Linked DNA regions of Zea mays. The protein of the gene in region 1 binds, or shares a complex with, the protein of each later gene. Links are inferred from orthologs where the notes say so. Each region holds a gene or a part of one and is shown in the gene's direction. Other genes may lie near its edges. The genes, in order: Dolichol-phosphate mannosyltransferase subunit 1-like and Dolichol-phosphate mannose synthase subunit 3-like.

Region 1 (6,678 bases):
CATGCAGTCAGGCCCTGCCGAAGGCACCATAGGAAGCTCCGCTTCGCCCGACCCAGGGCTCGGACTCGGGCTAAGTCCCGGAAGACGGCGAACTCCGCTCCGCCCGACCCAGGGCTCGGACTCGGGCAAAGTCCCGGAAGACGGCGAACTCCGCTCCGCCCGACCCAGGGCTCGGACTCGGGCAAAGTCCCGGAAGACGGCGAACTCCGCTCCGCCCGACCCAGGGCTCGGACTCGGGCTAAGTCCCGGAAGACGACGAACTCCGCTCCGCCCGACCCAGGGCTCGGACTTGGGCTCAGCCCCAGAAGACGACGAACTCCGCTCCGCCCGACCCTAGGGCTCGGACTCCGCCCCAGCCGACGGCCTCCGCCTCGCCCGACCCAGGGGCTCGGACTCGACCTCGGCCATGGAAGACAGACTCGACCTCGGCTTCGGAGGAGCTTCCACATCGCCCAACCTAGGGCGCAGGCCAGCCACGTCAACAGGAGGCGCCATCATCACCCTACCCCGAGCTGACTCGGGCCGCAGGGAACAAGACCGGCGTCCCATCTGGCTCGCTCCGCCAGATAGGCAATGATGGCGCCCCGCATACTCTGTGACGACGGCGGCTCTCAGCCCCCTTACGGAAGCAAGAGGACGTCAGCAAGGACTCAACCGCTCCGACAGCTGTCCCTCCACCAGGCTCCATTGCTCCTCCGACGGCCACGACATCACACCAGCTGGGTGCCAAAATCTCTCCGGCTGCCACAACGGCATGTACTTAGGGCGCTAGCTCTCCTCCGCTAGACACGTAGCACTCTGCTACACCCCCCATTGTACACCTGGATCCTCTCCTTACGCCTATAAAAGGAAGGACCAGGGCCCTCTTAGAGAGGGTTGGCCGCGCGGGGACGAGGACGAGACAGGCGCTCGCTTGAAGCCGCTCGCTCCCTCTCCCGCGTGGACGCTTGTAACCCCCTACTGCAAGCGCACCCGACCTGGGCGCGGGACGAACACGAAGGCCGCGGGATTCCCACCTCTCTCACGCCGGTCTCCGGCCGCCTCGCTTTCCCCCCTTCGCGCTCGCCCTCGTGCTCGACCCATCTGGGCTGGGGCACGCGGCGACATTCACTCGTCGGCTCAGGGACCCCCCGGTCTCGAAACGCCGACAAGTATATATTAATGAAAGAAGAAGCATACGAAACATGAGAGACAACATGAATAATTATACAACATCTTTAATATATCTTTGTTATACCACCATAAGTGAATACGAACAATATTGAATTACATTTATACCTTTGGTTTGACAGAAGGCGAAAGTCCAAGCGTGACGCAGGAATGAATACAAGTCAGTGTCCACAGTACGGGGTACTGTTCATCTATTTATAAGCACATGACGCAGCCTGGTCGGAATTACATTCATGTCCTCGATAAATAACTAAAAACATGACACAAACTGTCATGGACTGATTGGTCTTTTCCATTTTAAGTCGGTGCAACTCTTCGTCTTGAAATATGCCACTATGCCGAAGCTCCTTGATAGTAGCTTCGGCTTACATCTTCGTGCTGTGTTTTTACTTAAGGGACCTTCGGCGACGAAGCAGGCCCCAACAATAATCATGAGCATATTTTAGAATGGGACATCTATTCTACATGTAATGGTAGTAGGTTAACAGATAATTTTATAAATAACTCTTTCCACCATGTTAGTTAAATGAAAAGAGTTCTTCATAAAATTGGTTCTCTAACTATCTCTACTATTTATTTATTTTTTATTTTAATTTTCGCTCTGTAAACAATACAATGTGCGGTGTACACGACCGTAGATACGAGATGGATATGGATGTCATTTATGTCATCGATCATGGATGTCATTATGTCATTTGTATCCCTTTGAATCAGTTCCACGGTTCCTCCTCCTCCCTCTATTTCCCTGTCCAGACTGGTGGCCACAGCAGGGCACGCCGGCGACGCGCACCCGCCGGCAACCAGGTTTCCCGGCGCCGCCCCTTGTCTAGTTCTCAGCTTCTCCTCGCGGCGCCCCTTACTGGCTTCCTCTTCTTCCCAGACGGTGGCGCGTCAAGACTCCCCACCCGGCTGTCCGGCGAGGACCTCGGCTCCTCGCCCCTCCGCCGCTAAAGAGCCGCCATCCAGCCGCCCAGCCCCAGGCCCCACCGCCCCAGCTCCACCTCGGTCCCCTCGCCTCACCTCGACCCGGATTCCGCCCCTCGCCTCACCTCGACCTACATCTGCCTCGTCCCCATGGAGGCGGCGGCGAGCCGCAAGCGCGCGTACAGCATCATCGTGCCTACCTACAACGAACGCCTCAACGTCGCCCTCATCGTCTACCTCATCTTCAAGCACCTCCCGTAAGCACCTCCCACCGCCCAGATCCCTCTCTCCCGTTTGGCGCTGATCTGTCTCTCGCCGTTGCACCTTTTGCTGCCACGGTTGGGTCGAGATCGTCTTCGTGGTGAACGTTGTCGGATTCGATTTCGTTAGATCAGATGCCATTCGGTTGCGTGCGTCAACTGGATCGATTAGATTAATAACCTACTTAACAAGAATCAATCTGATCTGAATGTGTGAATGGAACTGACGATATCTGTTTAGGTGTTACCTTGCTTTGAGATCCAACTGCAGGCACCTGTCAATTATAAAGTAGAATCACTTGTTACTCAATTATTCGTCTAAATAGATGACACAGATTATTTATGTTCTCTCTTTGCTTCAATTCGAACTCTTTTATGTGGACATTAACCAGCCCTCCCTTGAGCTCTGCTTGCACATCTTACAGTATATAGTTGCAGAGTTCTAATGATGCCAGTACCGTTGAAGTGATCACTGTCCACTGTTTTTTTTTCTGAGAACAGGGAACGAAACAATTTTCTAGTGCTATTTTGGCAACATTGGAGCTAGAATTTGCTTCTTGTTTGTCGAAACCTTGAACTGTCAGTGGCAATCAGTTTCCTTCTTTTTTGTGTGTGTATTTGGACCTACAGGTCAGGTCATAGATACCCTTCATTCTAGTGCTTCCCTGCTGGGCGTGCCTAATTCACTCTATCAGACAAACAAAAACTTGCAAATTTTTTGTGAGTTCATCGGCTATGTCAAATGGGTGATGAGAATCTCTCCTGCTTGGATATCAAATGTACTATTAGGTATTACAACTTGCAACTGTTGGCTTGTTGTGTGTCCCTTTTCTTAGAATGTCACCATGCGTTAGACTGCCACTATTTAACTTCCATTGTTTGCTGGAGGCTTGCTACTATGGTGGAAAGGAAATTATTACATTCATATAGATATGTTGCCAAGTTCTTACATATTGTATCACCTGAGTTGACATTTTTTACCTCAGGGATGTGAACTTTGAGATCATTATTGTGGATGATGGTAGTCCAGATGGAACTCAGGACATTGTAAAACAGCTGCAGCAAGTATATGGTGAAGATTTTGTTGTAAGTAGCTTAAAAAAATATGTTCCTGGTCCACTTGAAGTTTTTGTACATATGATGTCAGTCTGTTTATTCAGTACCATGGCTTAATGCATTGTCTTTAACCTGATATGATGCTAGTTACTGCGAGCTAGGCCAAGGAAGCTAGGGCTTGGTAAGTTTAGACACCTGACTTCAATTTTTAGTGAAATTATTTCCCCTACTTATGTTAAGTAGCATCTGGAACTATCCAGGTACCGCATATTTACATGGACTAAAGCATGCCTCAGGGGAATTTGTCATTATCATGGACGCGGACCTATCTCACCATGTATAAATATTTCTTTTTTGTTACTATTTTTTTTTCTGTTTGCTATTTACAATATTTTTCTTCCTAGCTTGCTAACTATTTTCCCACCTTGAACAGCCAAAATACTTGCCAAGCTTTATTAGGTAAGAATCATATCTCTGAAGATATAAGAGTTAGTTAGTTTATACTACATGTTATTTTACATATATTAGTCCGCATCCTCAAATCTATTTTTTAGCACATATAATTCTCAGTCTGATTGTTCTCAAAATATATTTAGCGAGAAGAAAGGTTAATACTGTTACAGTTGTTGAATCCATTAGCTGAAAAATACATTTCAAGTAAAGGTTATCAGTTAGTCCCTTTGGCCTCCTCATTGAGGGTACTGAAATGTACCCCCTCCCAAAATATAGGTCTTTCTAGCTCTCTTTTTTTTCGTCCACATTCGAATGGATGATAATGACTGTAGATATACATACAAACTACATTTATAGGTTGATTAATGAATTTTTGTTTAGTCTAAAACAAATTATATTTTGGGACGGATGGAGTAGTAATTTAAATAATTGTCTTTTTTAACCATGTTATTTTCCTTAACCAGGAAGCAAAAGGAAACTGGAGCTGACATTGTAACTGGCACACGTTATGTTAAGAATGGTGGTGTCCATGGTTGGAATCTCATGCGCAAGCTGACTAGCAGAGGTGCAAATGTTCTTGCACAAACGTTACTGCAGCCTGGAGCTTCAGATTTAACCGGATCATTTAGGTCTGCCTTTCTTTTATCTCGAACAGAATAAACACCCACCTTTCAGTCACCTCTTTTGATGAGCGTATCATAATAGGCTATATAAGCGAGATGTCCTGGAAGACTTAATCTCCTCATGTGTCAGCAAGGGCTACGTGTTCCAGATGGAGATGATTGTTAGGGCTACAAGGAAAGGTTATCACATTGAAGAGGTATGCACCGTGCTGTCTCATTTTTCATCGATCATCTCTTGACTCTGGTAAATGGATCGTTGATTGCTCCCTCTCCTCTCCAGGTTCCAATAACGTTTGTGGACAGAGTATTTGGAATTTCAAAACTTGGCGGGTCCGAGATAGTTGAATATTTGAAAGGCCTTGTTTATCTTCTGCTCACAACATGATTGAAGATATATAGTAGGCTTCTGGTTTGTGGGTACAACCGTGTTACATTACAGAGAATTTTACTGATGTGTTATTAATGCAGCTTGAATTGTAACAGTACCACCATTACGCATGTTTCCAGTGGATGGATTATTGTACTCAATTCTTGGTTTTCTCTGTACACTTTATCAGTCTCTACGGGACGGTTCTTTGCCACTTTAGGGCTTGTTCGGTTACACCAATCCAGAAGGGGATTGGAGGAGATTAAATCCCCTCCAAGTCAAAAATGACTAGGAGAGGATTTAAACCCTTCCAATCCTCTTCTGGATTGGTGTAGCCGAACATGCCCTTAGCATGAATGAGCCACCCACCTACTTTAGTTGGATCACCCACATGCTCTTTAGGTGATCATTAAACTTTCGATTGCCACCAAACCGTCTAGATCATGTCTGTCATTGTGCAACTACACCAAAGTATGTAGAGTACTGAAATGGAGAGTATTGGAGAGAGTTGTGTGTGTGTGTGTGGGGGCGGGGGGGGGGGGGGGGGTAGGTTGACGATGTGTTGAATGTAGGCATGGCCAGGAATCAACATGCAAACAATTTTGTGTCCTCTTGTATATGGTGATTGATAGACACAAAGGAGAACAAGATTACAAGTTACAATATAAATCGAGCAGCATGACTTGCTAGCTCTCCCTTCCCTCTTAGCCTACCCTTGGGAGTTCTATTCTAGTTTCTCCCTCTTGACCAAGCATGGACGCTCTACTTTGTCTTTAGTTTGGGTTACCATAGATTGTCTGAACCTTCAATTGTGTGCATATTAGCCTAATTCAAATGAATCATGTTCTCAGTTCTACTCCCTTTTAGACCATGTCTAGTAGTTCATCCATATGATCACCCAAAACACTGTTTTGTATTGTATACTGTACTATTCACAGAGTGGAGTTGGAATATAGGTATGAAGATGGGTAAGCTGATGGAGATGACCTTATAGCCCATGGGAGGAGAGAATTACAATAAGAAGAGTTGGGGCCCCTACCTGGTTGTCAAGGATTTTTTGGCAATGAATTTATGGGGTAGGTCACGAGACCGAAAGCTAAAGATAAATGCACAAGAGACACAGAGATTTAGAGAGAATCAGACTTTTGATGTGAGATAATACCTTACATCCTATATATGCTGGCTATTGCTTATGATCTTGATGTAATGCCATGCCCTTAGGGGGCTCCTCGGTCCTCCTTTATAGTTCAAGGAGGGTATAGTTACATGGCAGATATAAATAGGTTACATAGTCCATGACAGTTCCAAACTGGTAACCAAGTCGTATGACAATCTAAATCTACGATTATAAACGTGTCTCCCTTATCCACTAGAATTTTGCCCTAACTGTTTAGGATCTTTGCCTTATCTCCTTTATTTCAATAATATATCTATCATATTTGTACTTCTATAATCCTCCTCATGACATGCATTCCTTTGATCACGACAACCGAGTCCATGGACTCTAGGCCAAGCCCATGGGCCTATACCGCCTATTCATATATGCCCATCTTGTGAATACCCCTGTTATATATTCTTTATAGTAGCCCATGAGTCCAACATATTAGAGTTATCAACTCGGGTAGGTTGGACTCCATTAATTTCCTTCGTGCTGAGAGTGTAGTCAACATAAAAATCTTCGAAGTCTTCATCATGAGTCTTGAAACACATAAGCATGCACCTCTTGTGCATCCTATGGATGTATCCCCGCGAGTCCAATTAAGTAGAGTTATCAACTCAGGTAAGTCGGACTTTGTCGATTAAGAATTATCCGCCAACTTTTTTT
Region 2 (6,401 bases), about 11 Mb from region 1:
GATTTGTTTTACCGAGGTTCAGTTCCAAAGAACCTAGTCCTTGTTGAGGAGGTCACAAAGACCGGGTCTATTCCAACCCTTTCCCTCTCTCAAACGGTCACTTAGACCGAGTGAGCTTTCTTCCTTATTCTCACGGGTCACTAAGACCCCGCAAGGACCACCACACACTTGGTGTATCTTGCCTCGCTTACAAAGCACTTGAGAATAAGAATGGGAAAAGAAGAAAGGCAATCCAAGCGGCAAGAACTCAAATGAACACAAAAATCTCTCTCACAAACCACTACGTGTTTGGAGTGAATTTGGGACTTGGAGAGGATTTGATCTTTTGTATTGTGTCTTGGAGTGAATGCTAGAGCTCTTGTATTGAATGTGATGTTCAGAAAACTTGGATGCTTGGAGTTGTGGTGGTTGGGAGGTATTTATAGCCCTCAACCACCAAAGTAGCCGTTGGGGAGGCTGATGTCGATGGGTCCGGTGCGCCACCGGACAGGCACTGTTCCCTGTCCGGTGCGCCGCCATGTCACCCTACCGTTAGGGTTCTGGAGGAGTCGACCATTGGCGTTGTTGTCTTCTTGTGGCACCGGATAGTCTGGTGGTGCACCGGACGGTCCGGTGCCGCTCTGACTCGCTGCTCTGACTTTTGCCGCGACACTGTAGCGCTGTCAGAGTCGACCATTGCGTGCAGGTAGCCGTTACCCCGCTGGCTCACCGGACAGTCCGGTGAATTATAGTGGAGCGTGCCTGCGTTTTTCCCGAGAGTGGCTGGTTGAACCCTGTACGGACCTGGTGCACCGGACACTGTCCGGTGGCACACCGGACAGTCCGGTGCGCCAGTCCACAACATACTCAAGTCCTTTTTGCTCCTTTTGAATTGGGTCCCTAACTTGAATATTTATTGGTTTGTGTTGAACCTTATGCACCTGTAATACATGAATTCTAAAGCAAACTAGTTAGTCTAATTATTTGTGTTGGACATTCAACCACCAAAATTAATCGTAGAAAAAGGTTAACCCTATTTCCCTTTCACCCATCAATTTAACCTAACAATGCAATGTATATGTGATAACATAATAGTAAATATTATATAGATCAAAAAATGTAATTAGGGACATAACTTGCCTTTTAAAGCAAGATCCTCCTACCTAGAGTCTTCACAATCTTGGTATTCCGATTGCTCTACCGAGAATTTCTTGATAGTGATTTTATGGAATAGGCCACGATAACAAGATTGGAAGGTAAAGTGCACAATAACATAATATTTAGACTTGTTCGAACTCTCATCGTAAGATAATACCCTACATCCAGTGTTGTCCAGCTAGTGTTTTAGTGGCTATTGATCTGTTGTGTTATGGTCTACGCTATCGGGGGCTCCCCCGCCACTCCTTTTATAATCCAAGGAGAGGAGCAGTTACAAGGGTGAACACGGGTAGGTTACATGATAGGTCTAATCTGGTAACCTAGTCGTACAAAAAATCCAACTCTCTATAATTACAAGTGTGCCTTCCTTATATGTTAAGATCTTGCCCAATCCGCTTAGGACTCTATCTTATATGTTGAGATTTTGTCCTATCTATTTAGGACTCTGGCTTGTCTCTCCTATTCTAATAATATATTTGCCATATTTATACTTCGGAGTTCTCTTTATATTAAACATCTTAATAATCATGACAACTGAGTCCAAGGACTCTAGATAGGAGACGACTCCGATGAGTGAGCCCCACATGCTAGTCAGTGCGATTGAGAGTCCACACGTGCAAACACTATCCTAAGGAAAAAAAACAGATTCGCTACTCCTTGGACCTGGTTCGACGCGGGTGTGGAGAAAGTGGGTCGCCCACTAAGGTTTAGAATTTATCGTCGAAATATTTATTTTCTTGTTTATTTTAAAGACTTCAAATGAATCAAGGGTTAGGCCCCTCCCCACATCTCCTGTCTCCCTTTTTTAGGAAAGTTGAGGGTTGGTTTTCATTATTTCTCATGCTGGAGTTTGTATTTACAAATGAGCTTTTAGAACTACAAATGTTTCTTAATCATTATTTTACAAGAATCTTGACTATGTAATTACTAATGGAAGTTACTAACATTCAATACACACCCAACACATAACTTAAAGCATCGGGTACACATTGAATTATGTGATGGTATGTCAAAAGATGATAGAAAGAAAAAGGAAAAAGGAAAATAAATGAAAAAAGAAGAAGAAAAAGAAAAGAAAATGATTAGTATGGACTTTTATTCAGTGGCCCATCTAAAAGCCCATCAATCAGCACAAACCCAAGTTCCACAAGACCCACACGTTTCTTTACTTTCAAGTCTCAACCTTTTCACTGATCCAGCGAAGGCATACTGCCGCCGCCGTTTCTGCATCTCCCATCTTCGCAACGCCGGCGCTCCATCTTGCGCTCCCTCCCTCACTCGCTCTCGGTACGCAGGCGGCGGCGGCGGCGGCGGTGGCGGCTCTCAGATTCGGGCTCTCAGCGACGGCGTCAGCAGCTTCCACTCCCGCCTCTCGCCAGTTGCCTCGCGCCCTCGCCTCCGGTCCTCCGCACACCGCCGGTTACCCTTCGTGCGTGCCTCTCTCTCTCTCCTCCCGCCTCCGGTGGATCGTCAACGGCGCCCAGCCCCGGCGGCTGCGCCGCGCGCGGCCTGAGGGCAGCGGGAGCCAGCAACCGCTGCCCCACCAAGGCGGTCGCGCCGCTTTGGGAGCGCATATGCCCCAAAGCGAAAGCAAAACGTTACCCGTTCGCTTAGCGCTTCAGCGTGCGCTTACCGCCGCTTGTTGAACCCTGCTCATTCTCAAAGGTCTATACAGTTTGCCCAGCAATCAATCTAGAGTACCTGTGTTCAACCAAACCCACCAGCAGCAGCATGAAGATGGCCCAAAATCAACCTTTATAACGGCTTATATGTTAGGATCTATGTTTTGGAGAAATTTGCAATTTCGCCACCTAGAGTGTTGCTCTCTTGCTATTATGCCATGCCACCTGTGTCTATGATCTGTGGACCTGTCTGTCTATGATTTGTGGATCCGATGGCAAATTAGCGATGCCCAGCGTTTTGAGTGGAAAAATTGCAAATGCCTCTATGTTTTGCTTTTCATCTTGTTATTTTTTTTCTTTTTTATGACAGTAAAACACCTCATCCCCAAATGAAGCACATATTCAAGATTGCTGCAATACTGGTAGCAATCTCTGCTATCTGGATTGCTCTCCTTGAAACCTCCACTGTTCCTCGAAGTTATACTTGGCTGGTCAGTGTCACTGATTTTTGCTAGTAAATATCTTAAAAAATAGTGTGAAGTAGTAGTTCGTTTATGAATTGGTTATTTCTGTTTCAGCTTCCCATCTACTTGGTAGTGGCTCTTGGATGCTATGGCCTTTTTATGGTTGGATTTGGACTTATGTTCTTCCCAACTTGTCCTCGAGAAGCTGTACTACTGCAACAGGTTAGCTATTTTAATGTGAGGCTAAACTGCAGAACCCTCGAAACTTCTTGAGCTGTATTTGCAGTACATCTCATGGATCATACAGATCATGACAAAGAAATCAATGCCAAATGATATTCTTTTTTTTTGGGGGCTGTTTGAGTATGATCATACCCTGGTTTATTCTCATTTGTCCAAGATTGGCGTATTATGCAGGATATTGTGGAGGCAAAGGAATTCTTAGGAAAGAGGGGTGTTGATGTGGGCTCTGAGTGAGATCAATTTTAAGTGGTTGACATACATGTCTGTTTTGAAGGATCACCATTCTGTTCCTTGGAATAGGTTGCTTTTTTGGGTACTGTAGATAGGAAACATATAATTCCACTATGTTCAGCTATTACTAACACGGTTTTTGTGAGTTGGCATGTTATAGTTCTGCTTTTGTCAATGATGGGGCTCACATTGACTTGCCGGTGTTTTTCAAGTTTTAAAGACTGAACTGTTCTAGGAATATTTGGTTTCTATCTTGATTTCCCGTCAGTGGACCATTTACCAATTCTGCTGTTCAGTATGTCACCTTATGCGTTATGACATCACTTGTACTCGCAAGTCCCTTCGAGGATTCAGTGTTTGAATTTCTCTGCAGTACTTGCAAAGTTTCTTTCATTCAATATGGCATGTTACAAACTACAGTTAACAGATATTCTGATCTTTTTAATGCCATAATTGCTAACAATGAGCTCATTGACATCAGAATGTCAGGTGGTAAATATACTTGCTCAACTAATAAAAGGTTTTATACCCTTGAAAAGCTAGATCGAAGCCTGATGACTAAGAGCCGGTAAGATTTATATCCTAGAGTGCTGTGCTATAAAATGCCAAGGGAAATTTTGACTGAAAGGCTATCCAATCATTAATCAATGATAGTATTGATCAACTAGGGGTTACATATATAGGACAGCAACCCTAGGGCATATGGTGTCGCTAAGTTGGCCAAGTACAGCGGGTGCAAGGCCGCAGGCCTCGCCGTGCCATACAGGGATTCTAATACTGGCCACAATTCCCTGATTTTAATCACAACCAAGCTGCCAGTAGACATCTTTTTTGTTTTGAGCTTGCCCAAACATGCTGGCTTTTTACCCCTAGTGGAAGATATTTGGACAAAACCATATTACGCTAAATCAGTTTCAGACAAAATTCCAAAAGAAACTTATAGAGGAATGAATTTGCAGGTTCTAAGGGCAGGGGTTTTAATTTGCAGGTTGAAATTAGGAAACAAAGAGCAAAACTTAGATTTTATGGTCTTGGAACTTATAGAGGAAGGTCTGCTATCACAGGATCAATTCCATGATAAATCAGCTAAACTAGCTGACTGTTGAACATACTGGAAAAATGGGAAACTATATTGGCTACAGAGATCCCATGCAACATGGTTTCTCAAAGGGGACAGTAACACAGAATAGTTTCATGGAGTTGCAAATAGTATAAAAAGGAACAATACAATTCTCAACCTTCATGGTGGTGAAAACATCATAGAGGGTGATAGTAAACTTTTCCAGTTGCTACTAATTATTATGAGAACTTCGGTCCAGCACCTAGAAATATTTTTCCTATTGATCTCATCTGCGAAGCTGTTCTAAAAATTGATGAAAAAGACAATATCCTTTGCAAACCTCTTTTCTGAAAATGAGATTAAAGATGTTACTGCCTGTCAGCATTCCTATAGACTTTTATCTGGCCTGCTGGAACTACAAATTTATTTCAAGACGTTTGTAATGTTTTATTAGATGTAAGCAGAGTCATCACACCCTTTTCTGAAGTGGTTGATGCTGATAGAATTTTTTTTTAAAAAAAATCCAGGCACATCTAATTACTAGTTCTGATTCTTGGGTTAGAACATTTTACTGAAATTTATTAAAAAAAAGCTCAATCTGCCCTTATGAGCGGAATTATGGCCTTCCAAGAAATCCTCCATGAAACAAAAAGGTGAAAATAATGTTGTTTGGTTTTTGAAAACGACTTTGACAAGGCATATGGCAAAGTCATTTTGGGAAGTTTTTGTTCACTTTCTTATAATGAGAAAATTTAGTGAAAAATGGTGCAACTGGATTAGTAAAGCTGTCAAAGGGTGGTATTGTAACTGGTGAAGCTTAATGGCCAAATTGGTCCGTGGACCCTTATCACCATTTTTTTTAACTTCACAGCTGATTGCTTGTCTAAAATTGTTGAACACGCTTTTAGTAACGTTTTAATTACTGGGCTGACATATAATCTAATTCCCGAAGGCATTGCTATTTTGCAATATGCCAGTGACACTATCGCATGTCTTAAATTTGACATGGAAAATTGTTAGAAAGCTGAAATTGTTGCTGTATATGTGTATGAAATGGTACTTGAGCTTAGAATCAATTTCAAGACTAAAGTTATCTTGATTAATGGTGATGAGGATAAATGCACCTTCTAGGGAGTTGTTTAATTGTCACATTGGTTTCCCATTTGGGAGTCCTAGGATGTGAGTATCTGAGAAATGATTGTTAAGTAACCCTAGTTAGGGTTATGTGGGCAAGTACCTGCTTTGCCCCTGAAGGGTCTCACATCTCTATATAAGTAACCTGTACACCCCCTCATAATACAGAGAAGAGAAAGAGGTCAAAGGCCCAACCCTATATCCTGTGTCTCGTGTGTTTCCTCTGTCGTGCTTATGAGAAGGGAGACGGGTTCTCTACATCTTCTTACGCCTCTACTGCTGACGGGAGGGAAGGGAGCGGATCTGGTGATCCGTGGTAACGTAGTTCTCAACACGTTATCAGCACGCTCTACCTCGACGTTGCTGCGTGGATTAGATCTGTATCAACTCTTCGTCAAGCTGGCAGGTCTCTTGGCCTAGCCAAACTGTCCTACGCGACAGGCTTCGATTTTCCCTCTACGCAAACAAGTTGTATGTTTACTGATTGAGTTGTGCATGGGCTGCAATTTA

The links.
Region 2: Dolichol-phosphate mannosyltransferase subunit 1-like (region 1) and Dolichol-phosphate mannose synthase subunit 3-like share a complex: the UniProt entries of both Arabidopsis thaliana proteins name them as parts of the dolichol-phosphate mannose (DPM) synthase complex. The link is inferred for Zea mays from reciprocal best matches to the Arabidopsis thaliana genes DPMS1 and DPMS3.

What each region holds. Positions count from the first base shown.
Region 1 is NC_050096.1:301,158,215-301,164,892, forward strand, and holds Dolichol-phosphate mannosyltransferase subunit 1-like, read left to right. Parts: upstream 1-1,881; 5' UTR 1,882-2,244; coding exon 2,245-2,351; intron 2,352-3,340; coding exon 3,341-3,440; intron 3,441-3,557; coding exon 3,558-3,591; intron 3,592-3,670; coding exon 3,671-3,747; intron 3,748-3,843; coding exon 3,844-3,869; intron 3,870-4,327; coding exon 4,328-4,492; intron 4,493-4,568; coding exon 4,569-4,683; intron 4,684-4,766; coding exon 4,767-4,871; 3' UTR 4,872-5,012; downstream 5,013-6,678. UniProt on the Arabidopsis thaliana protein: Transfers mannose from GDP-mannose to dolichol monophosphate to form dolichol phosphate mannose (Dol-P-Man) which is the mannosyl donor in pathways leading to N-glycosylation, glycosyl phosphatidylinositol membrane anchoring, and O-mannosylation of proteins; catalytic subunit of the dolichol-phosphate mannose (DPM) synthase complex.
Region 2 is NC_050096.1:289,685,076-289,691,476, forward strand, and holds Dolichol-phosphate mannose synthase subunit 3-like, read left to right. Parts: upstream 1-2,399; 5' UTR 2,400-3,076; coding exon 3,077-3,250; intron 3,251-3,337; coding exon 3,338-3,445; intron 3,446-3,640; coding exon 3,641-3,700; 3' UTR 3,701-3,963; downstream 3,964-6,401. UniProt on the Arabidopsis thaliana protein: Regulates the biosynthesis of dolichol phosphate-mannose. Regulatory subunit of the dolichol-phosphate mannose (DPM) synthase complex; essential for the ER localization and stable expression of DPMS1.